Linked DNA regions of Coturnix japonica. The protein of the gene in region 2 purifies or fractionates together with the protein of the main gene of each other region. This does not show direct contact. Links are inferred from orthologs where the notes say so. Each region holds a gene or a part of one and is shown on either strand. Other genes may lie near its edges.

What was found.
Region 1: the proteins of DACH1 (region 2) and JUN purify together in Homo sapiens (affinity purification with western blotting; 3 studies listed by BioGRID and IntAct, with this or other methods). This does not show direct contact. The link is inferred for Coturnix japonica from reciprocal best matches to the Homo sapiens genes DACH1 and JUN.

What each region holds. Positions count from the first base shown.
Region 1 is NC_029523.1:23,591,522-23,607,135, forward strand, and holds JUN (transcription factor AP-1), read right to left. Parts: upstream 10,260-15,614; 5' UTR 9,736-10,259; coding exon 8,791-9,735; 3' UTR 8,166-8,790; downstream 1-8,165. UniProt on the Homo sapiens protein: Transcription factor that recognizes and binds to the AP-1 consensus motif 5'-TGA[GC]TCA-3'.
Region 2 is NC_029516.1:140,888,226-140,903,839, reverse strand, and holds part of DACH1 (dachshund homolog 1), read right to left. Parts: intron 11,022-15,614; coding exon 10,874-11,021; intron 6,475-10,873; coding exon 6,331-6,474; intron 5,854-6,330; coding exon 5,785-5,853; intron 1,944-5,784; coding exon of another isoform or gene 1,921-1,943; exon of another isoform or gene 1,877-1,920; intron 1-1,876. UniProt on the Homo sapiens protein: Transcription factor that is involved in regulation of organogenesis. Seems to be a regulator of SIX1, SIX6 and probably SIX5.

The DNA.
Region 1 (15,614 bases), on a different chromosome or scaffold from region 2:
GTGGGAGCCATAGTGGTGAGGCTGGTCTCTTTTCAGTAGTGCGTGGGGACAGGACTAGGGGTAGTGGGATGAAAGTACAGCATAGGAAGTTCCGCACGAATGTGCGGAAGAACTTCTTTACAGTGAGGGTGACGGAGCACTGGAACAGGCTGCCCAGGGAGGTGGTGGAGTCTCTCTCTCTGGAGATATTTAAGACACGCCTGGACGCCTACCTGTGCGACGTGGTGTAGGGAGCCTGTGTTGGCAGGGGGGTTGGACTCGATGATCTCTGGAGGTCCCTTCCAACCCCTACAATTCTGTGATTCTGTGAAATGTTTGTTGCAAGGTTTGTTTTCACAGAAGCCCAGTAAGACAAACAGACTCTGCTGGGGGCAGTTTGCTGGTTGACCCTTTACTTTTCACAGCCCTCTGCCTCTGGGCCAGAACTTCAGTACCAACACATGTTACTGATTAAGGAACAGGCTTCCGCCATGATGCTGGAAGGACAAATATACTGACTGTTACACTGTCAGCTTCAAGCAAAGCATGTAGTTCAATGAGACGGAAAGCTAAAAAAGGCAGCATCCCTTTGTAAATTAAACCATAACATGGACAAGACGTGAAAGAACAAATGCAGCTATGTTGCACGGCATCATCTTCACGTTACCTGAGTGAACCAAATGTGATAGTTTCTTTCCCTTCATTTAAAAGAAGCCATCCCACATTGGTTGTTAAATCTCCTGAAAAAAAAAACAAAACAATTCTAGTTTTCATTTTCACTGAGAAGGAAAATCCCACACATGTGGAGTTATTGTGGAACAGCTGGCTTCAATTAAGGATCCAGGCTTCACGTTCTGGGATTCCTCTCTGAAGTATCAAATAATACCAACATTCGAGATTAGGATGAGGCTCCTGATATCGGGTATGGCAAACATATATTAGGCAAATGAACTTAAAGAATCAGGGTTTTTCTAGTGCTGAGAAGCCTTTAATAGAACTCCAGTTGTAGATCAAAGTATAGCAATGTTTAAACATAGCTTAATGTATTTGAATTAATGAATCAAAATATATTTTAGTGTATAATCATTTATAGGCTTTAAAGTAAATACTGATGACTGACAAAGAAAGGAAAAGGTATTAAAGTATTCAGTATTAGAGAACTTTACTTCTGTTCTGACTCTTCTCATTAATTTAAACAGCCTTTAATGTACTTGGGGATTTCATCACTAGACACTCTCAGTTTTTGTTGTGTAGGTGAAAGTGACCATTTTTGCTGGATACCTGGAGATCTTCTGTTTTAACCTCTTATGGTGATATTGTCTGACTCAACCTTAGAAAGAGTGGAGAATTTGCTTTTCTTGCTTCTATTTTTGTGTTAATTGCTTAATCTTAATTGTTCCTGTTTCTATGCAGTGGTACAGGACAAGGGGTTTAATTTCATCTTAGTTCCATTTGATCACTTCTGCTATTACAGAAGTTAGACTCTCCTAAAGAGGCAGGAAAAGGACAAGGACAGCAATACCATGCTGCTCACAGGTTGACGGGCCTGCACTTCTGTGGCTGCACTGCACAGTGCACTCCCAAAGGGGATAACATTAGCTTTTCCTATTTAGATCAGACTGTGGACCTGTCAAAACATTTATAAGTGAATTTCAGGAGAGAATGTCATAAGAAAGACTAAAGAAAATCAGGCATTACTGTTCCTAAACTGAGATGCTTGTGTTGGTAATTTGCAACAGATTTGGGGATGGAGATCTTTTAACAGAAAAAGAGTAACTGCATAACATCTTCCATTCCCTGAGCTCATTATGTTATTCCTTTTGTCATTTTGTTTTGTCACTGTTACCTTTTGGAACTCAATTGGAGAAGTAACTGGCTTTGCAAGTAGATACCATGCTGAGAGTAAGAGCATTCCATGAACCCAGATGCCACATCCAGCCCACAGGCACGTAACCGTGGAAGAAAGAACAATTGACATTAAGCTAAAAAGCGAGACTTTCTCATATTGCCAGCCTGGCATTTCCTGTGCAGTGAAAAACACAGAAGCAATTTCTGCATGTAAGAATGATAAACAGTGAACAGAGGGGGCCGGGGAAATAGCTTGTAACAAGTTTTGGGTGTGCTGATCTATTTTGTATGTAAATTCGAAACAGACGTGGAAGCCAACATGTGTAGCATGTGCAAGGAATTCCATTTATAAGACTTAGAATAATAACCTCGCTGCCCTCTGAAATAATTTTAAATATATATGCATAAAGTTAGTCATCTCACAAGAAGCAGTTTCATAAGCTACTAAAGGACTCAGTTCTCAAGTCAAGTTAATGGGTGCATGACAATTGTTCTCTGTGAAAGTCAAACCATGTTTTATAGCTTTATCCATATGGGAAGTTGAGCTTGTTTAACCAAATGTGTGAATTAAAATTAAGTTATAAAACTGCTGCAAGATTTGCTTGGGCATTTTTGCAGTATAATGGAAGTTGGGAAGAATGAATGTAAGAGTTCCGTCTCAGTCTCCCATAGTTTGGAGATCTGCCAGCGATCCCTGTTTCTCAACACAAGAAGGGAATCTGATTTTTGAACCATGTTTTCTTCCTGGTATTTATCAGTGCTCTGATTTCCAGAACTGCTGTTTCTACCCAGCAGCTTTTGATCTGTGCTGGTTTTTGGTCACTCGTGGGCAAAAAAGAACCAAACCGGTCAACTTCATTGTTACTTTTGCAAAAGTACCTGGAAGTAAAAGCTGTGTGTAGTTGTGAAGCTCAGTTAGGGGTGATTCCCTAAATACGGTACCTTTAGCTGCACTGGGGGGGGCACAAGTGGTAAATATAATGCACAAGTTTCTAACCAAGCTGAAATACGACCAGCCCAGCTACATCTGCAGAGTTGAATGGTGGTCTCTTTTTCACAGCCCTGAGAACCAATGTAGTGGGAAGTTAGATAAAGATGGACTGCTTCCTGCAGGGCTGCACTGGAAAGATATGGGTTAGAAAATCTCTGCTTAAAGGAGAAGGAAACTGGACAAAGACCACTGAATTCTGTTTATTTTCTGTCATTTAAAGAAGGAAACTCTGCTGTTAACTTGCCAAGGGCTTGCTCTGCTCACCAATCTTGTTGCAGGCTGACTGTAAACTCTTGTACCGTCAGTCCCAAAGTCAGCCATGCTTCATGTATAGCTTCATATAGCTTGTTGGTTTTGTTTCTGAGAATAAAAGCACTTAAATAACTGGAATGTTCATGTTTAGAAATGGTCTCCTTCAGTCAGAAAACAAGGAGAACTGGCAAACTGAATGACAGCAGATCCAAACGAGAGATGCATTTGGCATTGAGAATCTCAGTTCCTTTTCTCCCCTTTAGGTATTTGGGTCAGACTCTGTGTGATTATTTAGTGTGATAAGGATCATATCTTGACTGAGGCCCAGACATACCAAGGGAGGGCTTGTAATGAATCTTGTTAATTACTTCTTGCAAGGAGTTTTGAACAGTTAATGTTTAGGGATACCTTGCTGTTTGTATAGGGGGAAGTGGTGTACTTTTGGTGCATGGTGCAGTAGAATAACATTTAGTTTACGGAAGTTCATTCATCACTAACACATGATGGCTACAAACTTTTCTGCTCAGTAGAAGGAAAGGCCTCCTTTTTCTAATGGGGTAAATCAGACCCAGGTTTCGGCCTATCTAACCAGATGCCTTTCAGTTAAAGAACCAGAGCAGCCCACATCTCTGATGTATGCACATTTCTGTTAAGTCCGAAGAGAGCTCATGGTGTCTCCTAACCTAGAAAACTCACTGTCAGAAGTTAAACAATAAATCCTGACCCATAAGTGTTGTGGCTTTGTTTCAAGAGGAACTTTCCCTATTTCACTTCTCAAGGTAAAAACTAAACAACAACCAGAGTTTGCACAGGGAGAGCAGCAGTGTTTTCTGGCTGCTACACCATCTACACAAGAGCTCCGTGCTGCAAACCTCCTTGCAGTGTGTTCCTGCACTGTTTGCTTGTGAGCTCCATCTGCTGGAGCTGCGTCCCATTTCCCACATCTTTGGTATTATGCTGCCAGGTTTCACAGGAATTCTTTTAAATTTGAAAGACAATAGAGGTCAGTTTGGAGGAGTTTCTAGCAAATTTTTATGGAATTAACATAGAAACTGCCTGGAGAATTCAAGGCTCAAAACACAAAATTACTGCTGTTACTCCATAGCTGAGAAAGTCATTGTTGCTTTCAATATTTAGTTAACTTTTTCAGAAGTTTTTTCCCCTTTGCAACTCTGTAGTGCTTTGGAATATTTAAGGATGGAAGGAACCTAGTTGGTAACTAGGTGATGACTTTTTACAAGTTCTCTTTGTAGGAAGCACGAGCTCTGCTCAGAGAATTTATTCTGCTGTTGATGTCAGCAATGATACGTACGTGTGGAACTGGGATGGCCTCCCCCCTGGGGTGCAGGCGCTGCTGCTGGCACTGTGTGCAGCTGGAAGAAACAAGCCCATCTCTGGGATGATCACCTTCCCACAGTGCAACCCACCTGCCTTTTCCTTTTCTTCAGTAAGAACATTAATGCCATCTTCCCTCTCCCTGTCCCACTGCTAATAAGATGTATTACATTTCATAATGGATTTGTGTATGCAGTAATTTCAAAGATTATTCCTTCCTCTGCTCATTACCAGTGTTTTGCATTCACTTGTGTTGTTTGCAACTTTTTTTTTCCTTTAAATAGAGCAAACTTTGCCTGAACTGGCTTTAGGGTTTTAGTTTCTACTTGTTGGTAAATCTACACTGTTATACCTGTCTCAGGGCTAGGAAGAGATGAAAAGCAGAGAAGGCATTCACTTGGTATTAAAGATAAATGCTCTGGTTTTTCAGTTCTGCCATGTGCTTCTGGTCACCTCGCACCTCGCTCCATGGTGTAAGTACTCCACGATGCCCAAGCTTGCTCTGGCCTGAGCCGGTCCACCCGCCTTCGCAGGCTGCTCAGTAACGCTGCCCAGCTAATAAACCTGGAGCCTGGCTCAGGTTATTCAGTGGGCAGAGTGCTGTGCTCATCCAGCTGGACACACCTGCCAGTTTTGCTGCTGGTTCAGGATTCACTCTGCACTGTGCAGCCTCTGCATGTGCTGCATGGTGCTAGATACGTGATGTAAGCCTGCTGTACAACTAACCTGGCTGCCTGCAAATTAGATTCTTTGCTTCCTTTGCAGTTGGGAGGATAAGATCATTAGTGCGTATGCAGCAACGTACTTTATTGAAAGGCTTATTTATTTTTTAAGAAAGCAATTATCTTAATGGATTCCTAAGGCTTTGCATGGGGCAAAACTGTCAGTCTAGTTTCCACAGAGGTTTAGAGGAATAGTGTCTGTATATCATGACAGGTTCCTATAGAATAAAGGAAGTTGTGGCATCTCACCTTCATCCTTAAGTGGGTACACGCTGCCTGAATGCACGCTGGGACTGAAGGGCTGTATTTTGAGGTCAGTAGTTTTTGACCTGCAGAGAACTGAGCAACTCAACGATGAAGGACTATGTCAATGACTGCTACAGTGTCCTGAGATTAAAACTGGCTGCCACATAACTCTTTTCCACTAGAGTAAGTTGGATGGCTACTATTATTTCTGTAGTGACAAGTACTTTGGATTTAAGATTATACAGTCCTCTTTGCAGCTCACTTCAGTTCATGGGATAGAAGTGTGAGGAGTTGGTTGTTTTTGTCCAGACCCAAGTTCTAATTAATATTTCTGTAACCCAAACATGTTGTTCTGATTAGAGGCTCTTTGCCTAGGCATTTCGGCATAGCCTGCCCCGTTTGAAACCCTGCCTTTTTCTGACTTCACTTCCTGAATCCGTTGACAGCACTCACAGCCAAACAAAATACATGCTCACAATGCTGTTATTTGCAAAATATTCCCTTGTGAGTACAGCTGGGGCAACAAAAAGTGTTTCTAAATCTCAAAGAAAACGGACTTTTCCTTATAGAAATAAGGCACACAAAGCATGAGGCAATTTTAATCTCAAGTTAAGTAGGTGTTAAAACTTTGCATTTCACCACATATAAATGCGTGCATGTCTTTCATTACAATCAGGCTTATTGATCACCAAGTGATCTGGTAATACGCTAAGAGTGCTGAGCATTCATCTATTCTGAAGCACACCAGACAGAGACAGGCTCACATCCCACCACGTTGTTTACAAAACAGGCGGAGGTGGAGGTAATATCAACTTACTCCGTCCCACATCAGGCTCAATCCTCGAATGAGACGTGGGATATAAGAAAGGATTTGTGCTCCATCCCCCCTTGTCTCCTTGTGAACCTGTGTGACTGGCACTGACAGCCACGCCGCCTCCTGGGCTGGGCCTGGGCAGGTAACTCAGTTTGCCCGCTGAACCAGCACTGCTCTTACTCAGGAACTTCTTTTTTCTGCCAGTGCTTCAGAATGTGGAACTGGAGAGAGAAAACTTGTAACTGCAGCGCTAAATGTCTGTGTGCATGTATTAGCATAGGGTGGAGCAGACTGTCACTCAGCTGTGTTTAATTAACATAGTATTTTATATAATGTATTTATTTTTTGCGTAATTAGGTGATTAAGCAAAATGCTTGCTAGTAACATCTATTCCATAACCCAGCACTATGGAGAGTTAAACAGGCACCTTTGCAGGTAATTAATCTCCTTGCCCTGCTTATTTTGCTAGTTGGCACTTGCTTAAATCCCTGTAAAACCACACCCAGCAGTGCTGTGTATTATCCCTCTGCTGTCTGTTCCTACATATGGTCAAAATCAACTTACCTTCCGGGTTGCTGACATCAGCAAAATGTGCTCTTGGCAAACTACAGTATCCTCCTAGTAACCCTTTGTTTGGTTGGTGTTGTTACAAGAGTATTCCTCTGACAGCAGCAAACAGCATCTAAACAGCACCGGCCTCCATGCTTGGATTACGATGTAGGATTCTGCCACAGTATCACATTTTACACATCAGGACAACCCTTCGTGTCATTAACTCCATACAATTTGGGCAGGGAAAAAAAAAGTCAGAAGAAAGCTAAGTTCTGTGCTTCCTATGAGGAACTGATCTTTGGATGCACATCAGTTGGAAGTTTCAGAGTATCGCTATGCTGACATTAGTGGTCTGCTCTTGTCATTCTGTGATGTGACCTTACACATGGCAGTCACTGCAGAGAAACTTCTACCTTTTTGCCCTTAAAATATGGATCAGGACTGTCTACAAACGTACTGATGTTATTGCACTCTAGTTAGTCTGTAATAGTTTCTGCTCCTTGCTGTTTGGCCATCGGCATCAAACAGAACATCTGCTCTCTCCTCATATACACAGTTATTGAAGAGAATGAATTGGGTGCCACATGTTGAGAAGGGTGCTATCAGAATCATATCAAAATCATTCCCCCCACCAGCTGAGCAGCATGTCTCTAAAGTAGATGTTTACATTGCTGTGCTAAGAAACAAGATTACATTAAAAAGACACGGGAAGTGCCAGGAGAGTTGCTCTCATGTCTTTTCACTTCCTGCTACGTTGTTTTCCCAGTTTTCCTATTGCTAAAGAGTTCAGAACCTGCAGTAACAGCCAAAAGGATTTCAGAGATAAAAAGTTTTTTTCCACTGACAACAGCATTTTCAGATATTAACAAGGATCACCTTTCACTGCAGAAAGACTGCATAGGAACGAAGGTGAATATTTCTACTTTTGAAGTCTAGAGCACTTTTGTTGCAAAGGAAAGCAAACAGCCCCTTGCCTGATCCTGCTCGAGGGCATTGGCTTAATAAAAAGCATGCAAGAGCACAAGCAGCCAGATACAAGTGCAAAGCAGTTTCACACACCGGCTTTCTACCATCTCTAGAGCCTGCCTAAAGCCAAAGTCAGCCGCCCCAGCAGGGCCACTACAACACACAATAACCTCCCAGGTTAAGGTTAGGAACTGGAACTCCCAGACAACTCAAAAAGTTCTGTTTGCTCAGTGCTCAGGATCTGGTTCCCCCCGTCTCCTCCTCACACGTTCTCCAGGACATGCCTGCACTTACAGAGCGAGTTTCACATAATCCCTGCCCTTTAGAGTCCAGCATTAAGGGCATTTTCCTAACTCACATACTAGCAATAATAATAATAATAATAATAATGAAAAAGGTGTGAGGAGGAAATGCATTTTAAGTATTTTATTTTTTTTTAAATATAATAGAACCTTCTAGATTTTTTCCAGAAACAGAAACATTAAAAAAATTATACTTTATTACAAATGGTAAACTCAGAGTGCTAAAAAAAAGCCTCTTATTTACAAACAATACTGGGCAGTACCCAAATAAACAACATAAAAATAACTTACAAAGTCATGAAGTAGTTTATTGACATTAATCAACTTTCATAAAATAAAATAAAAAAGGATATGTACATACACCATTTACTTGAAGGCAGGAACAACAGTTCTTGGTTGTTTATCAGCCTCCCACAAACCTCCCTCCCGCTTTTTGTTTGTTTGTTTGTTTCTTAAGGAATACTACATGAAGCAATCTACAGTTTCTATTGCAGTTTAACCTTTAATACTGAATGATCATCGAATGTTAGGTCCATGCAGGTCTTGGTCAATGTTAAACGAAGATCTGTCGCCTCATGGGAGCAGGATCAGCACCTCGGAGCGGTGCCGGCTGCTTCACCAACTCGAGCTGAAGGCTGCCCAGTCTTTGCACACATGTGCTTTGCAGCACGCAGGCAGGACTCACAGCCTCCCAGCTTCTACCGTGAGCTTTACGCGTCCGCCGCTTTTGGTTTGTCGTTTAGTTATACCACAACATCACAGTTCCTATTGAAGTCAGTCTCTTCAAAACGTTTGCAACTGTTGTGTTAGCATTAGCTGGCACCCGCTGTTGACATGGTTCATGACCTTCTGCTTAAGCTGTGCAACCTGTTCTCTGAGCATGTTGGCAGTGGATGCCAGCTCTGAGTTCTGGGCTTTCAAAGTTTTCACTTTTTCTTCCAACCTGGCAATCCTTTCCAACTTCCTTTTCCGGCATTTGGACGCCGCGATTCTGTTTCTCATGCGTTTTCTCTCGGCTTTGATTCTCTCCTGCGACTCCATGTCAATAGGGGACAGGGGAGGGGTTTCCCCCGGCATTTCAGGTACAGTCTGAGGCTCTTCTTTCAGAGCCTGAAGCCTGGGATGCTGCACTGGCATCTGGGGGTTTATGTGATGCTGCGGCGCGTAGCCCATGCCGTTGGCATTGTAGTTGGGTGCGGAATTGAGCGCGTTGGGGTTGAAGTTGCTGAGGTTGGCGTACACCGGGGGCTCGCTGTGCAAACTCGTGTTGAAGCTGCCGCCGCCGGCCATGGAGGACACAGGTGCCATGCCACCGCTAACAGGTTGCGCGGCCGAGGTGACGCTGGGCAGCGTGTTCTGGTTGTGCAGTTCCGCCAGCGCTCTCACGAAGCCTTCGGCAAACCCCTCTTGTTCGTCGGTAACGTTCTTGGGGCACAGGAACTGCGTCGGGGTCGGCGTGGTGGTGATTAACCCGTTGCTGGACTGGATGATGAGCCGCTCCAGCTCCGGGGAGGCCAATTTCAGCAGCCCCACGTCGGGGGAGGTGAGGATGTCGGCGTTCTTGTTCCGCAGGTGCGGCTTCAGGCTGCTGGCCGGGTCGGACAGGTTCAGCGTCATGCTCTGCTTCAGCACCTTGGCGTTATTATATCCATAACCGCCGCTCTCCGGCGGCGCGAAGCTGGCGTTCAGTGCATCCTCGTAGAAAGTAGGCTCCATCTTTGCACTCATAGAACAGAGCCCAAAAAGTGGCGCCGGGAGCCGCCCCACACCGCTCCCGGCCAAGCGGCTTGGGGGGAAAGAGCAAGCCGGAGCCTTCCTTACTTCTCGCCGGGACAACGCCGCTCCTCCCGGCGCGGGCCGGGCCCGCCGGGCCTACGCTGTGCGCTGTGCGCTGTACGCTGTACTCTGTACTCTGTGCGCTGTGCTGCTCCCCGGGCCGCCTCTCCGCGCTGTGCCGGGCCGGGCCGCTCCTGCCGCCGTTGCCGCTTGTACCTCCCGGCTCCGCGCTCCGCTCGGCCGTGCCCGCTGTGGCGGCTGATTCTCGCTGCCGCCCGCCCCGCTCTGAGCCCGCTCGCTCCGTGCAGCCCTTCACTTATCAGCGACCGGGAGCCCGCTAAAAATAGCCCATGATGTCACCCCGCGCGCTCCCCATTGGCTGCCGCCGCCCGTCCCGGGGGAGGCGTGGCGCTGGCCCGGCGCGGTGCATGGCAGCCGGTCGCCATGGACACCCCGCCCCTAGAAGCTTCTCAGCGCCGGCGCGGGGCCTTGTGGGATGAGGTAATGCTGCCGGCGGCGCGGGGCATTGTGGGCTGACGTCTTGTTTTTGAATATCTGGTTACCGCGGCCCGAGCTCCGAGCGGGGTTGGGCGGCTCGACGGCCTCGTACCAACCAACCGCTGCCCTACCGGGTACCGGGGCACCGCGATGCCGCCCCGAGCCGCCCCGCGCCCTCAGCCCGTGCGTTGTGCTGCGCTCGGGGCCGAGATGCTGCGTGCGGCGGGGCCGGGCCGCGCTCCTCCGTTCCACGTCGCGTTGAGTCCCGCCGCATCGCCGCCTCCTCCCCCCCCCCGGTCCCGTTGTTGGTACGGCCCTGAAGGTGGCGCTCCGGGGGAGCCCTCACGTGATTTCCCCGCCTCGCTGCCCCCGCCGCTTCCAGGCAGGGCCGGGGCGGGCGCGCACAGCGCCGGGGCCGCCCCCGCCCCGCACGGGGGCACAGCGCAGGGCGGGCGGCGCTGGGGTGGGGGCGGCTCGGCCTCGTCTCCTCCCGTCCCGGGGAGCCCCGGCGGGCGGGGACGGGCGGCCCGGCTGCCCTCAGCCCCGCCTGCCTTCAGCCGCTGCGGTGAGCGCTGTGTCTGTTCCCAGGGCCGGGAGCTCCCCAAAGTATGAGAGGGGAAAAAGCTGCCGGGAAGGAGCCTGGCTCTGGATGGGTTTTCCTAAAGTTGTCCTCCCGGTTGTAGAGCTGTGCTGGTATTAGTGTGTGAGCGCAGCTTGGCCAAGGGGAACGGCTGGAGATGGAGGGATCCGGTCGGGGAGGGAGGTTTGTGCTGCTCCACAGCTACCGGGGACTCGCAGCTCGGCTGATGGACGGGACGGGAACCCGGGGCAACAAGTGCTGCCGCTGCTGCTTCGCTGCTGGGCTCCATCGCTTTGTGTGACATACGAAGCTGACAAACTTAAGTCTCGGTTTGAAAATGCACTTTAAAACTCTTAAGTGCTATTTTTTTTCTTCTAGATGTAATAACATAATTAGCACTTAAAGTACGGGAGGGAGCAATGTAATAAACAGAATCAAAAAGAGCTGTGAATTAAAAGTGAATGTCTGGATGCACTGACTGATAGAAGTTACTGCTCCTTTTATAGAGTCATCTCCCGGTCCTCCCTGCTGTGCACACCTGGCTGCACTCAGTGTATCCACTTCACCCATGTGCTGGAATCACACAGCCAATACCTGTGCATGTTTGTGCTAACAGTCAAGTGAATTAGTTTGCCCACAAATGTGGGCCTTAGTGTTTGCTGCAGGTGTGTGCACAGCCTTCAGGTAGGCAATGAGCACCTGTGTGCAGGTAATTCCAGCTGCCTCTGTAGCTCCAGCAGCAGTTACTGCATGTGTATAGGAAAGCCTCTGAAAGTCGTCTGTGTTAGAAGCAGCTTCCTAGCTCCATCCTAAGCTTTACACACAAGATAAATAGAGGCCACAGCCCGACTCCTGGCACAGGAGTTGAGGTACACTGAGCAAAACTGGCAGATGGAGGGCTCAGAATGAATGAGGGAAATTGCTTTGCAGAGCTGTTTGCCGTGGAACACCTTGGCAAGAGGGTGCTGTGCAGAAGGAAGGATTTAAAAGTGATTAGATGAAGTCACAGGAGAGAAATCTCTCAAGGGCTGTTGAGTGCAGCCGATCTCTGGCTCTGGAAATCCTAAAGCTGCAAATGACTTGTCTGGGGGAGCATCCCAGGGCAAAACCTCTGCGTGTGTGCCCTGCTTCTATGTGCCTCAGGTATCCAGCCTTGGCGACTACGGGGTGTCTGCTTGGGGCCGTCCTGGTGTTCTTGCTGTGCCCGCACTCCCACTTAGTCTGTAAATGATCCGGCTGTGTTGTGTCAGCACGCCATTTTGAGACGTGTAAAGGGCTTGTCTATGCAAAGAAGAAATTCTGGAGAAAGGGAAGACATGAATTTGAAGCGTTTTGCTGGAGGTTTTTATTTTAAAATGGTTTTTAAACCTAAAGGTTTTTATACGTGTGGTTTTTGTTGCGTAGGAAGCCGTTACAAGACTTTTCCTTTAGTCAGTTTTCTGTATAAACAAATAACCCTGACAAAGGTTGTTCCAATTAACTGTTGACATATTTAATTTGTCGGAGTGTCGTCCATCTGTTTTATCCTAGAAAGCCACATTCAGTCTGTATATCAGGTCGGTGTAGCTTTAACCCCTCGGCCTGGTCAGCAGCCCCTTACAGCCCGTCCACATCACCCCACCTGGGTGGATGCAGGATTTTCATTGCCCTCAGTGAATGTTGGATTAGGCTGGAGATATTCATTCCAAGTCATTTCATTTCTTTGTTCTTTTTTTATCCCCAGCCCATTTTAGTTCTTTTTTTACTTCCTTCCTTTTACAAAGGTGCAGTTTAGGACTAGACATTCCAGTTTGCCAGAGACGTGTTGCTACTGAGGCCCATAGCTATGGGGGACACCCATCAGTCCACTCATTACGTTAATTACTGCTCACTTAAAGGTTACCTGGTCGAGGCTGGTAATAGGCAGCCAACTTGCCCATAAAGGTTGTGCGTAGCAGGAGAGCTCTGAAACCCAAGCCCGACGCTCTTTGCTGCTCTGAGGGGATTTCAGCGTTCTGATCCCAGCAGGGGATGGCTGCCAAGCGGGTGCTTGGCCATGGGCTGGGATCTCAGCTCAGCTCTCAGCACACAGTGCTGGGCTCCCACCCGAGTCATTGAGCGCTGCTCAGCAGGAACGGCCTGGTTGGTGCGTGCAGTGACAGCAGTCCTCCATGGCTGGGAGCTTGGGGCTGCGCTCTGCTCTGTTCAGCAGCTATTACTTGAGGGCTTTCCCCTCTTTCTCGATGTCCTTAAGCAAATGCTCCTTTAGCAGAATGAAAACACCGGCCCATTTATAAACCGTGGCCATTTACATGTCCCAATAAACTAACCTGTGGGTAGGGACTGGAAATTAGCTGCATATCTCTGTTGCTGTGAAAGACAGATTCTCTGACCAGCATAATGCAGGTTTTGATTTATAAAGTTCTCTAATAGATCAATACGAGATTGACTGAGGCAATCAGATCATCTGAATAATTAAATGGCTTTTCAGAGACAAATTAAAATTTCTTATACATACTCCATCCATCTAAATTATATTTGGTGTCCAGGAATAAATAGGTTGAGTGGTTTGTTTCGGGCCTGTATCACAAGTGCTTTTAGCTTATTTCTGGATCATTAGAAAGAAGAAATGTTAGGTTTCTACTGTTTCTATATTGGAAGTGGTGCTCACAGAAGGAGAGTGCTTGCTTGCACGCAGGGTATTTGTGGTTTTTAAGCTTAGATGTCATAGAATCAACATTAGAGGAGTTCTTGTGTTATTCTTATGAATTTGTTTGCTTTTGACCCCTTTGTGCTTTCCAACGTGAATCCTGCTTCACCTCCGCATGATGTAAGACTGAGAATCCACAGACCTTCTCAGCTTCCCTTTGTGATGAGCTGCTATAGAGCACGTCAGCCCTGCTGAGGGAGGGGAGAGTTGGCCGGGTCAAAAGGAACAAGTGTATTTCTTTTATTTTCATATCAGAGCGTGGTGAAAGAGGCCAGGGGTGCGAGGGCACGGTGAGCTGAGTTTCCTTGGGGTAAGTGGAAGTAAAACTAATTCCCAGGTGTTCCTCAAGGTGTGTTCTCAGGGCCAGTTCAACTCCACCTCAGCCTGCAGTACAAGAGGTGTGGCAGAGCCGCCACATCGTCCACCCCCGGCTTCCGGCCCCACGGCCGCTCCTTCTGCTCTTTGCCCTCACCAGGGCTCACGTGGCCTCGTGGGGATCCAGGAACTGCGTGTGGCTGAGAGCTGAATCCAAATAGTCACCTTTGGGGGTCCGAGGGAAAGCTGTGAACACACAGGAGGTGTCTGAGCTTGATGTGAAGAACCCTGAAACCAGATCTGTAAGACAAGACAGAGCACTCGGTCCTGAGTTAGCATTTGCCCATGAAAAGGGTTCCTCGGAACTACAAGCACTTGTAAATGAATATCGTGTCCATCTCCTCCACCCTCAATTAGTCATCGCTTAACCAAGCTACATGCGTTTAGTCCTTTTCATCTTTCTTGTCAAGCCCTTTAGCCTGTCCCCCTCACCTACTCATCCCACCAATCATTTTAATTAATCTCTGAATTTCTTTGAAACTACTACTTTGTGGAATGGAGGAAAATGAGTAGGTTACAGAGACAAGATTGTGAATGATGGAGGTGGGGCAAAGTTAGGAGTCTTTGCAAGACCTGTTGGGTTACCTCGGGGGCAGGACAGCAATGCAGGATGTAAACAGAGAGAGTATAGAAGTGAGGGAGGAACCACTAAAAACACTTGTTGTTGTTTTTCCATTTTATTAAGAATACTGTTGGGAGCATTTCAAACCTTGGATGCTTCATGTGAAGCAAAACGTGAGTGAAAGATGTAATATGATTGTCTCTAAAGGTACTTTTTTTCCCATTCCTTGTTGGCTTTATGGAGGCACTGAGTTATCACTGCAGTTACTCAGAAATACATTTTCAGATGATAAATGAACTTCTTTTTGTTATTTCAACAGCTCTATTTGCATAATTTTTGATGAAAAACCTGGCTAGTTACATTATTTAGAGATGAAGAGACCCCAGGGTATTGCTTCCCTTGGAATTTTAGGGCATAACAAATCAAAGCATCGCACTGTTAATGCCTCTGCATTCATTATTTCTATGCCACAGCATATCCAGTGTTCTGAGAAATGGAGAGTTGGGCAAAGTTCCTATCCTGTGGATCTTACACTTAAACAATCCCCAGCACATGATCGAGGCTGGCAGAAAGGCAGCTGATCTGCAGTGGGAGCCCAAAGAGTGAAGTGAGTTGGAAGGTGAGCTGTGCAGGAGGCACTGAGGGCATGTGGCATATGGGAAGCAGACGGCAGCGCTGGGCTGTGGGCTAACAGTATGAACAAAATTAACATACAAATAGAAGCATGCAAAGCTGAGTGCTGGGGAGGCAGATGAGCACCTTTGAAAAGATATTTACTGTGTTTGAGGACAAAGATCCCAACAGAAGTGTGCGTTTTTTCAGATACAACCAAGGCACGTTTTCACTGTGCAGAAAAGAAACGAGCTTTCTGGCATTATGGTATTTTGATAAACCTTTATTAAAGTAAGCAGGAGCAACAAAATGCATTGACTTATGTCTGCTAGTTGTGACCAAATACCTCAGAATAACCAGATTTAACCAGATTTAACTATTGGGAGCTGTTGGTAAAATATTTTATTTTTTTATTAGTGCCTGAGAATGGATAAAAAATGCCTGGCTTTTTAATTAATGAGCAATCTGGCATCTTGTCAAGTTGACACCTCACTCTGCCTTAGCAGCTGTTGGAA
Region 2 (15,614 bases):
ACTGAATGAAGTACTGTGCAAAATACAGTATCTAATCACATAATTAAAGATTATATCACAATGCGTATACAAAGATGACAGAACAAAGGTGCGGAAGACAACCTTAATTCTACCACTTCCTAATTTTGGAATGCTTGACTTTACAGTCTTGATAATGGCCTTTTCCAATAAAAGTTTCTGATCTTATAAGAAATATAATCACATATTTAGACACGCTTTTGTCAAGATTTTTACATCAGAAATAGAACTGTGTACACAAGGCTCATGGAATGACTGAAAGTTCCTTTTCAATGTGGTAGTCCTTCAGATAGCTATCTTTCAAACACAAACATAGCAAGAAAGCATCAAAGACTATAATTTGCTGTGATTATTACACTGATTTTGCTTGTTGAAAAATAGATTAAACAAGTCTCAAACCAATGCAGAAAACAATTCAGGTTAGGTTTTCAGACAAATGACTGAAGCCGTTTCTAAGCAATTGTTATTAACATCTAGGGCAGCTGCAGGGCAGCATTTTCCTATTACTTAGGCAGCAAAATGTACCCTTTAGGTCCCTGGCATATGCAAAATTAAATCATAATTTCCTTTTCTTCATTTGTAGCCTTCACTGATCTTAAAAGTAATTTCAATAGAGGACTTTGCAGTCAGTATGTTGAGTTGCAGTAGCTCTCTTTCTGTGTTACAGGATCTCCTAAACATTTCCATTTCCTGACCTGTCCTTTCTAGGAGGGAGCAAGTACCTCTGTTTGTTTGCTAATGAGATAAAAAGTTTGAGAAAGGTCTGTGAATGGAGAAGAACAGATGGTCCTGGAAACTTTCCTGTGCATGGCAACTGAATGGCTTTTTCACATAAGGAACAAATAGTCTGAAGCCACTTAAAATTATACTTCACTGTATTCTTAATATCACCCTGCAGAAGAGGTGTAGAACTGGGAAAAAAACAATATGTGAAAGGACTTAGTAAAAGCTAATTTTGCTGTGGGATGAAGAGAGTAAAAAGAAAGGCTGATAATCTGCTACAAAGAGAAAGTATATCTGCAGAGAATAAGGATTTCACACATAAAATTTGACTGATGGACAAAGGGAACAAGGGCTAGAGGAGAGTTCATAGAAAGGGAAAAACTGAAATACTGGAATAGACAGGAGAAATTCAGAGAATATGCAAAAAAGGAAAGGATCTCCTGAGATATTTGGGAAAAACAAACAAACAAACAATCAAGAAACAACAATGGGAATTCTCATGGGAACTGAGCAGAGTAAGAAGAGGCTGTTAGAGAATGAGGGATTTGGCTTTACAAAAGCTGGAATAAGAGTATGCAGAATTTGAAAAAGGAAGCAGAAAAGCTATTGGATGAAGCACTCCATAGAAAATAGGAAATAAATGAAGAAGATATGCAAGACAGCAGAGACAGAGAATCTGGTTAAGCTTCCTGCTATTATCAGAACAGTTTTGGGAAGAAAGCACTGAAATGGAAGAATTTGGGAAAAGGAAAACGTGAAAGAGACACCACACTAAAGAAATGGTCAGTGGAGAAGACAGTGTAAAGCAGAACTTTTTTAGATGAGTTTAGACAATACATAAAGAGAGCTGTGATTAAATAGAATAAAGACTACAAATGTGTAGTATTTGGGAGGGAAATCACTAGGACATGGAAAAATGAATGTGGAATTTATACAGGAAAAGAAAAAAAATAATGTTGGCAAAAAATACAGGACAGTTAAGCAGATGGGGAAGAAAAGAATCAGTGGGGAAAAAAAGGAAAGTGGGAAAAAAAAGGAAAGTAAGAACAGCAGTAAATGTCATTGTTCTAAGTGCTTAGTAAGAGGTCTGGTAACAAAACAGTACATAAAAGTAAACATTATCTTTGTCTGGTACCTTTTTGTGTGGGATGAGGGGATCTTGGGAAACCGGATTGGGAGCTAGGCATAGGCATCTAGTGAACCTACAATATGTATGGAGAAGAGGACAATCTGCTTTATTATAAATTTAAACAAAAGCAAGAAAGAAAACATTTAAACCTAGTGTCTAAACCAGTTCCCAATAACTTAGTATCTGCATCTGTTAAAAATATCTATGTACATTTGGACTTACATTTGAGTTATTTATTATGATTACTCCTCAGTATTTTATGGATAGTTCAGCAAGATGTTGGCTATCCGATATTAAAAAAACAAAACAAAAAAATCAAATCAAAACAAAACAAAGTAAAACCTAGAAAAAATATAATATCTGTTATTGCTTCTTTCTACAGACACAAACTCCTTTTTTCTGAATATCATTCTCTTTTTACAAGTCTCTATATGAACTAAAAGTGAATTTGAACACATTGGAAGGTGATACAGGATGAAAAATAGAACATACCCCATTTATTGATAAATGTAATTACCTTTTACACTTAAATTAGTCCTATCCCTTGCAAACAAAAGTGACCATTACAATACTTACATTAAATATAGATCTAAATCAGCAAGAATCTTTTTATTTATAATAAAGAGTAGATAAAATCTTTATTTTAAAATTCTATTCTCTTTGCCTAATACTTTCTCAAATGCTGAAATTATACTTGATATTTCAATTATTTTACATCCCCACAGAACGCTGCTGCTATATTTGCTTGTTCAGTTAAAGAACTGCAAAGCATGCTTAATACAGTAAGTTGAAAAAAATGTATCATGATTATGCATAAAACTGTTATTACCCCATATATGCTTTGATACAGGAAGATATAAACACAGGTATTTTAGTGGAGCAAGAAAGGCATATAAATACTTCCCTAGTGAGCATATTTTTCCAGAACCTGAAAGCATGAATTAAATATTATATTCTTTATTAGAGAATATACTGTGTATTCTATGGAATAATCCTTCTTTTGCATACAGAAGTAAATATCATTATTAGATAAAATGTAAAGAAATAACTGAAAATTTCAAAAAATAGAAGGACATGTTCTTGGTTATCTCTGTGAGAGTTAAAAAAAATCACACACTGGAGGAAAGATTTTGTACAATTTTGCAACTAAATTCTCCAAAGAGTCCATTTGTAGTGAGCATGCTTTATCCTGGAACTGAATGAAGCTCCTTCACTGAAACTGTCTATCCTCATTTGTGCAAGCAATCATTATGCTAAATATTGAAATAGCAACATAGAAACTGTCTTTCCTTTTCTCTCAATTATTCTCTTGCTGATACTAAGGAAGATTTGGAAGAGGAAACAGAATGTCTACAGAGGAGTTAGGAATGTGAGCCTGATGGGGAGGCATGAGAAACAGAATCAATACTGAAAGACTTTTTACCAAACAGGAAAGGCTGTTAACAGGGAATGTTAGTGGAGTGCAGACTCTAAAAACCACTGGACAAAAGAGGAAGGCAACAAAAAGGGTCACATAAGGGAGAAAGATTTTGCAATAGAAGAAATAATTAGGGTGGCGTGAAACTTAGTTCAGAAGAGAATGGTGGAAGAATGCGTTCATCGGTAATGGAAAATTAGTGGAGGGGGGAGAAGAAGTGTTGAGACAGGACAGTGAGAACAGCCACTACAAAAGCTGAAATTAGAATGAGGAGAAAGAAAGAAGGAGGAACTGGGACATGGAGATACAGGACTAACAGGGATACATGCTAATGGGAACACAGAGAAAAGGGAAAGGGAATTCTCCTTCTTGTAGTGGAAATGAATACAAAGAGTCCTGACACTCACTATTACTCCTCTGTTAATAACTATTTCTGAAACTGTCACTCCACAAAAAATTGATCCACAAAGACAACAAACTCCTTCAATTACATACTGTGTTGTAAATCTACATCCCAATGATAGACCTAGATTTTCCAAAATCTGATATAATGATTAAACTGAATATATTGAAAAATACATCGAAAAAAATAAAAAAATACATTTAAAAAAACAAAACAAAACAAAAAAAAACACCACAAAAAAAAATTATTTAAATTGTACATTAAAACTGGAAAGCAAAGACAGGAAATGTCAGAACTAAGGCTGCCTATGCAGTAAGTATGATCCAATACCATGATCATCACGGTTCAGTCTGTAACTAAACAACCATCAGTATTATTTTATGGGGTTTATTATTTATTTTCCTCATACAATCTTGGACAGATGAGTCAAGATTAAGTCATCATTATTGAGAATGTTGTCTCTAAGACCTTGGTTTCACTTGTTTTGTAAATGTACATGTACAAAATGAGCATAACAGGAGAATAGCTTGGTTAAAACACAGAAATGCTCTTCCTTTGTAGTCTGGGATAAATCCTTTAGAATACCCACATCCAAAATACTCTGTAATTATGTGTTCTCATCTTCTGAATATCTCAGCTCATAAAGGAAACTGAATTCAATAGGAACAGGATTTGAACACAGTGAACACATAAAACAATTTGTCACCTCAGTCTTCCTCTGATTCCCAAGTTTCAATGGGAATACTTCAAACTCTGCTTCCTTGCAGGAATAGTCTGAAGATAAATAAATTAGTGTTCGCAAGGAACTCAGTTACCTCAGATGTATTTTCTCCAAAGAAATATCTCCAAAGAAAAGCTTGTCTGTGCACCAAACAAAATAACAAAATGTATGTTTTGTAGCAAATGAGCATGTTGGTTGTATTCTCATTAGAAGGATGTATCAAATGGTGTTTTTAGTTAGGCATACATTCAGTCAAAGGAGAAGCAGGATTCTGTAACAATAATGTCACATCTACCTACTTCCCAGGCAACATTCAAACTGACATATTTCAACTTCTGAGCTATTAGCTTTGTAGACAGAACACACAATTTAAATCTAAATGTTTTTGTTTGTCCCACAGATTTTTTGTATATGCTCAATACCTTTAAAGACTGTTGACATCTTATTTTGTTGTTATGGCCTCCTTGTGGCACACTAGTAACAATACTTTAGAAGTCAGTAAAAGTGATTAAATAACACACAGATTATGTCAAATGATACTGTTAAGATGATTGACTTCAAAATGCAAAGTTAAGGCAATTGAGTGTGATTACTGGTGCTAACCATTTTAGGCTTGCCGCCTTTGTAAAAAAGCACGTTCATTTACACTTGAAAACAAATGCTGTTTCTGCTGTTTAGTATTCATGTAGGTAGAATTAGATTGTTGACTAGAGAGGACATTATAACACAAATGCTATCTTAAAAATTTGTTCCTTACTAATATCGTGGTGCTTGCAATATATATACATTCAGATTCACAGGGGAAGTAATAAGGCTCTCTTTAGTATTTCATGTACAAATTTACTCAGCAGATTTGTTTTATTAAACTGTAAATAATGGGATGTGGTAAATGAAAAATCCAGGAAGTGAATAAACAGTTTATTCATCATTAATGCTCACAGTAGCTTATTGAAACACACCTTTCAGGAACTGCCACTGAATATTAGCTATGAAATTCTCATCTTGCCTTGAATGTTACCCATTTGTATAGTTGAAAGGCTCAAATTGTTTTAAATCAGCCTTTAAAAAAAAGTTATCCTAAATGTTATATATTCACAAAAACTGCATTTTGCATGCCTGAGATTAAAGCCTATATTGCTTCAAATTAATTATTCTTCTTTAATTGCAGAAGATAAACAGAAATGACCTATTAATTTAAAGAAAATCTATCGCCACTGAATATATTCTCTCCTATAAAGCAAGATGAACTTGACCTTGTTTGAACTTGTTTTGATGTGGCCCAGATGGTAGGCTACATGCTTGAATAGCATTCTAAAGCTGAGGAAAAACTCATATAGCAAGATCTAGATTTATAGCCTTTTGCAAATTCTTACCTTGTATTGTCCTTTCAGCATCTGTTCTGCCCCCACTGCGGTCAGCTTCTATCTCTGGGGTCAGAGAGTCTAGAAGCATAGAAAGGTAAGACTGACACATATTTCATTTGATTCTTATGGCCCTTTTTACAACCTGTTACTCTAAAGCTGAATTACAATACAATCAACCTTTGTCAGTTTTTTTTAATGTTGAACAATGACTAGAGGCCAGAACAATTTTTTGTTAGACTAGGGAGATTAATGAGCAATAGATTTTTCAAGCATAAAGGTAGGAAGAAAAAGAAGGAGAAAAAAAAAACCAAACCTACGACTTCTCAAGCTAATAATATAAAATAGGCCTAGTTGGGGCATTCTTTCCATGAATTTATTTGCACGTGCTATATAAAGTAACAAAGCAAAAAAGAGAGAGGCATCCCTTGAACAAAAGAAAGAAGAGAGATTTTCCTTTTTTCCCTCTCCCACCATGTTATAGATTTCATACTAACAAGGTTCTTTAGACACTTAAATTGAAAATTAATGACACAGAAGCAAAAGCTGGCTTCTTACCATTTAGGACCCTGAGACTATCTGTTGAAGCTGCTTGTTTCAGTGTCTGTTCTGCTTGCTCCCGTCGTTTAGTCTCAAACTCAAGTGCTTCCTGCAATTTCCTCTTTGCCTTCTTTTCCTTCTTTAACCTTTTCTGAATTATTGCTAGAAGGAAGAAAATCAGTGTACTCAAATTCAGATCTGAAACTTGGCCATGGAATTATGTATTAAGGGTTCCAAGAAACAATACAACTGTAACAGTCCACATAAATTGTGTAATTACACACTATCTATTTAAGCTACCTGAAATTTGCTGGATTCACAGATATTTAAAGAGCCACTTTGCCATGCTGTTTCTTTTAATAAACAGACAAGGATTTGTGAAAGTGTAAGTTGGAAAATCTTGGAACTTATTCCAAATCCTTTATATTAGAAACAAATGGACAGTGCCAGATCCCCAAGCCAAATAATTATTACTTCGCTTTCTCGAATGTAAGGGAAAAGATTAGGAAAGTAATAAATAACAATTCAGTGCAGAAAACCCTTACTTAGAAAATGTTGTTCCTGCTTCTTGTTCACATTCTACAAAGGAAATGGTTGCAGGAATAGGATGTAAATGAATCATATAAGATGATAGGTTTTAAAGAAAATCCATCATGATTTTCTGTTTTATGTTTCCAGACAGTTCCTTCCAAATTAGAACTAAAATAAAACTTGTATGTTCCCTGACTGAAGGAGCATATCAGAGATTATGTCCTCATTGGAAAAGAGTATTGTGAACACTTTTTTTTCCTACTCAGTGAAAGTGATCCACTAAATAAATCATACAAAGTTGTAGATTACACTGTTATCTACTCAACCACACTCCAACCATAGTGTTTTCAGAAACACTCTTGTAAGAGGCTCATTTACTGTAAGATCTACCTGGATAATCCTTTTCTAGAGAATCTGTTATTTTTACACTAACTACAGAAATACCATTACCAAAACCAGATACTAGGTGATACTAGACTTGACTATTAAGTTTTATCTATCTGACTCTTTAACCTTCTCCAAATTAACCACTTGTATCTGGTGTAGTGAGAAATATTGGAAAGGTTCAAAATACGTGCCTATCAGTTCACAGTCTCCATTTTCAATAGTCATAGCTGCAACTTTCACAGAATGCAAATCATTAAATTTTTAAAGAGATCCATCATGATTACTTCTATTTAATGTATATGCTAAGTAAGATCTTTTTGAGCAGTCTTAGATTTATTTATTTTTTCTGTGTTGCTGTACAGAACTGTTTACACACAAAATATGTCTATTACATTAGCGCAAACCCTCTAGTGAGTATAGCTACATCATTAACATGCAAGACTTTGGAATTCTGGCACTTTCTCATTTTGTATAGTGAAACTACTTTCTAGGCATACTATCTTACACTATCAAAGAACAGCTAGTATCTTTACAAATGCTAAACTAAATACATTTTGAATCATTGCACCATTTTAATGTTTTCATTATAAGTACTTTGAAAGTGATTGCAATAAATGAGAAGGAAACATATGTTGCTTTCCAAATTAAAATGTCATCATGGCTGACACATTGTAGATGTGACTACAGCAGTCAGAGCCAGAATTAGCAAGCCCTTACTGTGTAGCTGCTCACAGAAGAGAGATTATCCTACTTTCACTGGTTGATGAGACACATCCTACAGCCTTAGGAATCACTAATTGGAATATTTACAAAGAAGGAAGGAAACAATACAGTAAATAAGCAGCACTGTAGAATACACAGTAGCAGCGGTGGATTTAATGTTCCCCAAAATGACAGTAAATAAATAAATAAATAATAATAATAATAAATCAGATATCCTGCCTGTAGAGATTTTTGACTTGTGTTAACATGACTAGCAAAAGATAGGCATTGATACTGGTTGCCTAATGCTGAAGATCCCATTTGCCTAATGGGCTTTGACCTGCATATGACGGTGTACATATATTTCTGTGCTGCAGCTTTTTAAGGGTATTTCAGCCTTTTCTTACAGAATATTTCTTAAGAGGGATGTAGTATGCTTATCCCATCCTGCTCATGCTTCTATTAAGATGTGAGACTTTCTTTCAGACATGACATTTGGTACTGGTTAAAACTAATGTAAGGCAAAGCCTCCAATGTGCGTTTCAGTCTTTCATTGAAGGATAAATTCCCAAAGTAATCACAAAGTCTTATTTTTTCTCTCCTACTTGGCTTTCTTCATTGTAAAGAATAATATGTTATTTTTACTTTCTTTTGTATGGAAGCATCCACTACCGAAGACAGTCATCCTCATTACATTTGCTTTACTACATTACACTGTTAAGTGCTCATATCCATTCCTCTTTGGTTTGACTCTTTTGCCAGTGCGATATTGTCATTAGAAAGATACATACAAAAGAAGCAGATAATGTATAGTGCAGAAAATAACACTCTCAATTATTTCACTATCCTAACAAAAATAAAGGACTAACACATGCTTTTTCTTGAAATACAACTTAGAGCAAAATGCATTTCACCTAATTTTACCTGCTGAAACTCTAAGTGTCTAGTCCAGCTTAGTCAGTGATATTCTTTCCAGTGCTAATGGGAAGAGAGAGTTATTCACAGTGTAATTGACCTCACCTACCTGTCTCAGAACAGGATGTAGGAATCACTTGATTGAAAGAAAGGGAATTTATGTTATTAGCTTGAATTATGCACTTAATTTCTACATGGCAAAACTCAAAGTCAGATGAGTACCCACCTATAATGTTTCTGCTGTGTGTATTGTTGCCTAACTCTAAAAAATGGATAAAGGCAGAGTAAGATAAATAATATACAGGAAACCATAGAATCACAGAATCACTCAGTTGGAAAAGACCTTAAAGATCATCAGGTCCAACCATGACCTAACCATACTACCCTAACAGCACTTGTGAAATCATGTCCCTGAGCACCACAACCAAATGGTTTTTAAACACATCCAGTGGTGGTGACTCAACCACCTCCCTGGGGAGCCTATTCCAGTGCTTAACAACCCTTTCTGTAAAAAAATGCAGATATCCAACCTAAACTTACCCTGGCACAACCCTGGCAACTTCCCTTCATCCTGTCACCCGTCACCAGTAAGAAGAGACCAACCCTGCTCTCACTGTAAGCACCTTTCAGATATTGGAAGAGTGCAATAAGGTCTCCCGTCAGCCTCCTTTTCCCCAGACTAAACAGCCCCAGTTCCTTCAGTCTCTCCTCATAGGTCATATTCTTCAAGCACTTCACAAGCCTTTCTGCCCTTCTTTGGACCTCCTCTAGCACCTCAGTGTCCCTTCCATACTGAGGTGCCCAAAACTGGACACATTACTTGAGATGAGGCCTCACCAACGCTGTGTACAGGGGCAGGATGACTTCCCTAGTCCTGCTCATCACACCATTCCTGATACAAGCCAGGATGCCATTGGCCTTTTTGGCCACCTGGACACACTGTTGACTCATATTCAGCCGATTGTCCATCAGTACACCAAAGTCTCTTTCCATCAGGCAGCTTTCTAGCCACTCCTCCCCAGGCCTGTAGGGTTGCCTGGGGTTGTTGTGACCAAAATGCAGGACCTGACACTTGGCCCTACTGAAACTCATACAGTTTACCTTGGCCCATCGATCCAGTCTATCCAGGTCCCTCTGTAGTGCCTTTCTCCCCTCTGGCAGATCAACACTACCTCCCAACTTTGTGCTGTCTGCAAACTTACCGAGGGCGCACTCAATCCCATCATCAAGATAGTTAATAAAGATGTTAAATAGAAGCGGTCCTAGTACTGAGCCCTGGGGGACACCACTCATGACCACCCTCCAACTGGATTTAACTCCATTGACCACAACTCTTTGGGCCCGGGCATTCAGCCAGTGTTTCACTGAGTGAAGTGTATGCCCATCCAAACCATGGGCAGTCAGCTTTTCCACAAGGAGAAATCATTAAGAAATGTTCAATATTAATATGCTTTACACTGGGATCTTTCTCAAAGAGAACCTTAGCTATCTGTTCCTTCTATAAACATATTTGACCTACTGCATTACAAAAGGCTTACATATTACTATTAACTTCGTATTTTATTATGTACAGATTGCCTAAATATGCAGTATATGACTCTATCACATAGGAAAAGAAATGAATTCATAACACCTCGAAGAGAATAAAATTTCATAAAGTTGTGTTTGCTTTAAGTAGCTATCCTTTTTCATAATGGTTGCATCCTGCTGAAGTCCATAACTGCACTTGCTGTGTTTACATTTGTACTGTGTATTACTGATATGTTGTAATAAGTTATATTCAAGACAAATGCAGAAAACAAACAAACAAAAAAAAAAACAAAACCGAAGGTGCTTGCACTAAATTTCATGCAGAACCTACGGAAAATTAGTATCAGGCAGACTGAAAAACTTCCTGCATTGTAGTCAGCCTGCACATAACAGGAGTACTGGAGAAATATTTTGACGAAACACAAATGCTTGAAAAAAAATTAGGTTTCCTAAGGAAAAAAATTACAAGGTATTTATGTTTGCTTTATTAAGATACCTCTATTTTTCTGCTCCACAGCCAACTGTTTTTCAAGTGTTTCCCTCAGTTCTCGTTCCCTGAAGAGCTCCATCTTCAGTTCTGTCTTTTCCAGTTGGACTTGTTTCTCTTGAGCTCTGGCATTGTCTATAGCAACCTTTAGTAGACCCTGTTCAGAAAAAAACAAACACCCAAAACTTGGACATTGTAATGTTTGAGGAATATTACAACAGATGGCATAATAAACAACTGACATTATTTATCTCTGATTAGTCATATGAAATTTTACAAATGAAATAATCCTGTTACTGGTTCAGAGTTTCCCAGTTATCAAGAGCAAATTTTAACTGGAGTGAATTTTACCAAGTGGACAAAAAATCTTTATAAAAGCAGCATCAAGTTTTTACAGAAGATGCATGATGATCTTTAAATACATGTAAAACTAATATTAGAAAGTTATAGGGATAGGTTTATTCTTCATGGAAGATAAAATATATATGTATATATAAGTGTATATAAACCACTTGCAAGTGACTACAAAAAGAGCTGTCCTACTGACAATGAGTTGTCAGTCTCATTATTTATCACCTTAAGAATGGCAAATTCAGTCTTTAGTCCAGCTCCTTATTGTTCAATATTACTACATTCAATATTGTTTCCAAGGAAGATTAAGTTGTTAAGATGTTAAGCAGAGGACACTCACAAAGCAAGAAGATCTTTCTGTCTTTAAAAGTACTTTACTGATCTTGTACAATTGTTATCTCATAACAGATGGCAAAACACAGCGATCTCTTAATTTCTTGACTTGGTATGTTTGGGGAAAAATTCTACATTTTTGTGGTTATTGCATCAGAAAATAATTACTCAGCCTAATTTCTTTTTTTTCTTGAGGACTTTAATTCAACAGTTCCTTCTTTTTTTGCAAAGAAACAGACAGATCTTGGCATAACTAATTAATAGATAATTAGGACACTGATATAAAATAAAGAGGAGGGGAAACAGGGTTGAAAGAAATAAATATAGGAAGAGTAAAGAATTCCATATTCCAGAATTCTGGCCATTGGGCTCTTGGCTCCACACTTTTATCTCTTTCATGTAAAGCTATCATAATAGAGAAGATAATTAAGCATGGCTAGGCATATATGAACCTGCATGGACAAGAACTTAACTCTTCTATATCCAAGGCAAGTCTCCTGACAGTCATAGATCTATTTTGACCCAAGAGGGATTTGCTGATATGAAGCAAACCAATGCCAACAAGACAGACTGAAGAAGTTGCTGGTAGTTATTTTAGGAAAGTTAAAAGATATAAAGTTTATATTCAAGACCCTGTTTCAGAGCTGCATACTACAGACACAAAATTATGTTCTCCAAGTCATAAGTTCCCTCACCATTTAAGCACATTTCCTAAATTAAATTCCGAGTTTTAACCCTACCCCAAACCCAAACCCAAACCCAAACCCAAACCACCATTATGATACTTGAAAATGGAAAAAAAAGTACTTTCTTGAGTGTTAGCAAGCACTTTTCTCTTGTTAGCCTTCCTAATGTCAATGCCTACCATTGAAATTTGCATCCTTCCACCTCTTCTTTCAAGTCTGTTCTTATCCTCACTCTTCCTCACTCTTAACTAAATTGTTGTCTTAAGTGTTGTCTCACTAAAAATGTAATTCTCTGTAGTTTCATTATACTTCAATGCATTGAAGTCCACAGCAGCTGAAAGAACTCAAAACTTTCCAACTGCAAGGACCATGTGCAATGAAAGGGATACCACAGCTAGATCAGGATGCCCAGGGCCTTATCCAGCCTCACCTTGAATGTCTCCAGGGATGGGACATCAACCACATTTCTGGGAAGCCTGTTCCAGTGCCTCATCACCCTCACTGTGAAATACTTCTTCCTTATATCCAACCTAAATCTACCCTCTGTAAGCCTGAAGCCATTGCCTCTTGTTCTGTCACCACAGACACTCACTGCTAAAGAGTTTGTCCCCTTTTTTTCTGTACCTTCCCTTTAGAGGTTGACAGGCTGCTCTCAGGTCACCTCACAGCCTTGACCTGGCTGAACAGCCCCAGCTCCCTCAGCCTTTCCTCACAGGAGAGGTGTTCCATCCCTTGGATCATTTTTGTGGCCCTTCTCTGGACACACTCCAACACTTCTCTCCAGTACTGAGAACTCTACATCTGGATGCAGTACTCCAGGTGAGGCCTCAGCAGAGCAGAGTAGAGGGGCAGGATCACCTCCCTCAACCTTCTGGCCAGAGTACTTTTGGTTCAGCCCAGGATACAGTTGGCTTTCTAGGCTGTGAGGGTGAATTGCTGGCTCATGTCCAGCTTCCCAGTTACTAGCACATCCAGGTCTTTTTCATTAGGGCTGCACTCAATCCTTTCATCCCCCAGCTTGTATTGGTAATGGGGGTTGCCTTGACCCAGGTTGCTTTTGGATTTGTTGAACCTCTTGAGGTTCACCCAGGTGCACTGCTCAAACCTGTCTAGGTCCCTCTGGATGGCAGCTGATATCATCAGTACCTTCCTGAGGGTGCACACAACCCCACTGTCAATGTCACTGATGAAGATATTGAAGAGTATCAGTCCAGAGCACTGATGATTCGGGAGCACCTCTTGTCACCAATCTCCAATCAGACACTGAGCCATCAACCACCTCTTCATTCTGCTATGCTTACAATTATCACAAATTATGTTTTTTATAATAAGTGCTACTGAGAAATTCTGATAGGAATTATTATATCAATACCAGCCTTGGGTTTATGTTCGAAATCTAGAAAGAAAACAACAAAAAGATCAACGGAAATTACACAAAGAGTACTTGTAGATTGAAAGTTTATTGTCAAATGCCTTTCCCAAATTCTTGCAATCCATCTCATTTAACCATAAAATCAAGCTGCTAAAACAACTGCCATCTTTACTCAGTTCAACTACATTCATGTACATGTTTCTTCTTCATCAGGAATAAACAATTAGTAACAAATGAAAGAGATCATTACGTCAACTGCCCTTTTAGATCACCCCAATTAAAACTTTAGTTTAGCTGTATTTTAATTCTAAGATACCAAATTCTAATTTTCTGCTCTGATTGCTCTTGTTGACTTATCTTTGAAAGATGTACTTTCAGTGCAAAGTCTAGAGATCATTTAGCAAGATGCCAATGTTGGCACCACTTAATCTGTTGATTGGTTGTATTATCAGTAGCAGTTTAAAATAAATTACTGTTAAACTATTATTGTCCTTGGCTAACAAATATTTTTGTGTTTTTTAAATATCCATGAATGAACATGGAGAATAATTCTAGTGTAACACAGACATGTAATTTTATATTAAAATCGCTGTATAGTATGAAGCTGCTAAAAGCATATTGTATTTTCTATTGAATTTCTGCACCATACTTCCTCCTTCAACCTTTCATTTTTTTAAACCCTCTGCTAACGTAGCTAATGGTAATACATTACCTATTGCTGCTGATTATGTCTGAAAAATATTAGCTTTTTGGAGCCAAGACACACTAGGGACTACTTATAAGCTACACAAAATTAAGTTTCATTTTTAGAAGTTAAATCAGTGCACATCAGTAGGCGTCCAATGTTGAAAAAAATCTGCACTAGAGCCAAACTGATGCATATGCAAAAGTACTGTTGCTGCCAATGACATCTCTAATGCAAAAATACTGGAAACATTCAGTATCTCTCTGTATTCAATGAAGAAGGGTTGAGAAAATCAACTAAAAAGTACAGCATCTAAAAATCTTGAGTGCCCTTTGGAACAGGAATAGCAATTTCAGAGTTGCATGAAATTCTATTAATTCTCCCAGTGGATCATCTGTAAAAGATTATACAAAATACAGTATGTCCAACTTACATTTGCCATGGGTAATCCTCTAACCTGATATTAAATCAATATGCTGCCAATGACAATGGAAAATGCAGTGCAACACAGAGCATTAAAAAAAGGAAAATATTTCTGTTTAGGGAAGGTCAGACGTTATGAAGGCTGGATAATGATAATTGTAGTGAACATGCTCAGGTTCCAGATTTGTTTTTAATACAGTATGGCTCTATCAGGAACAAGGCTTTAAACACGGCATGCCATTCTTCCTGTATGTGTCGCTGTTAATATATACATACGTACATACATGCATATATATATTTAATTTCAGTGTAATATAAAACATTGACATTCTCTCCTGGAAGTTTAGAGAATCATTTTGATTTTTTGTTTATTTGTTTGTTAATTTACACTGATAAGTCCTCTAGAAATATTCTAAATTAAAATAATAATAATAATTTGATGCATGGTTGATGTTTCTCCTCATTCACTGACTAATAGTTATCTCTAATATACCTATAGACACCATCTTGTTAGGGCAGACTACTGATCTTTTATGAATTAAATGTATCTCTATCTTAAAGCCAGTATTACCCATCACTAATAAAAATAAATGAATAAATAAATAAAATCATGTGTTGCCTATAGAGGAAAAAAGGTATTCAGAAGCTCTTTCTCATTCTAGCTAATACTGTGTGTTAGGGATAACACACCTAGCTACACAGTTATTTGTGACTTTAAAATGGCCTTACTAGTTAATCTAGAAGATTTACTTGTCTGTCTAGAAGACATTGCTTTACTTCCAATAATTACCCATATAATTTTTATGCTCTCATTATTGAGGAAATAAAAAACAACTGCATATAAACAATTTATATTAACCTTCACAGGTTAAATTCTGAATATTTGCAATTTGATTCTTA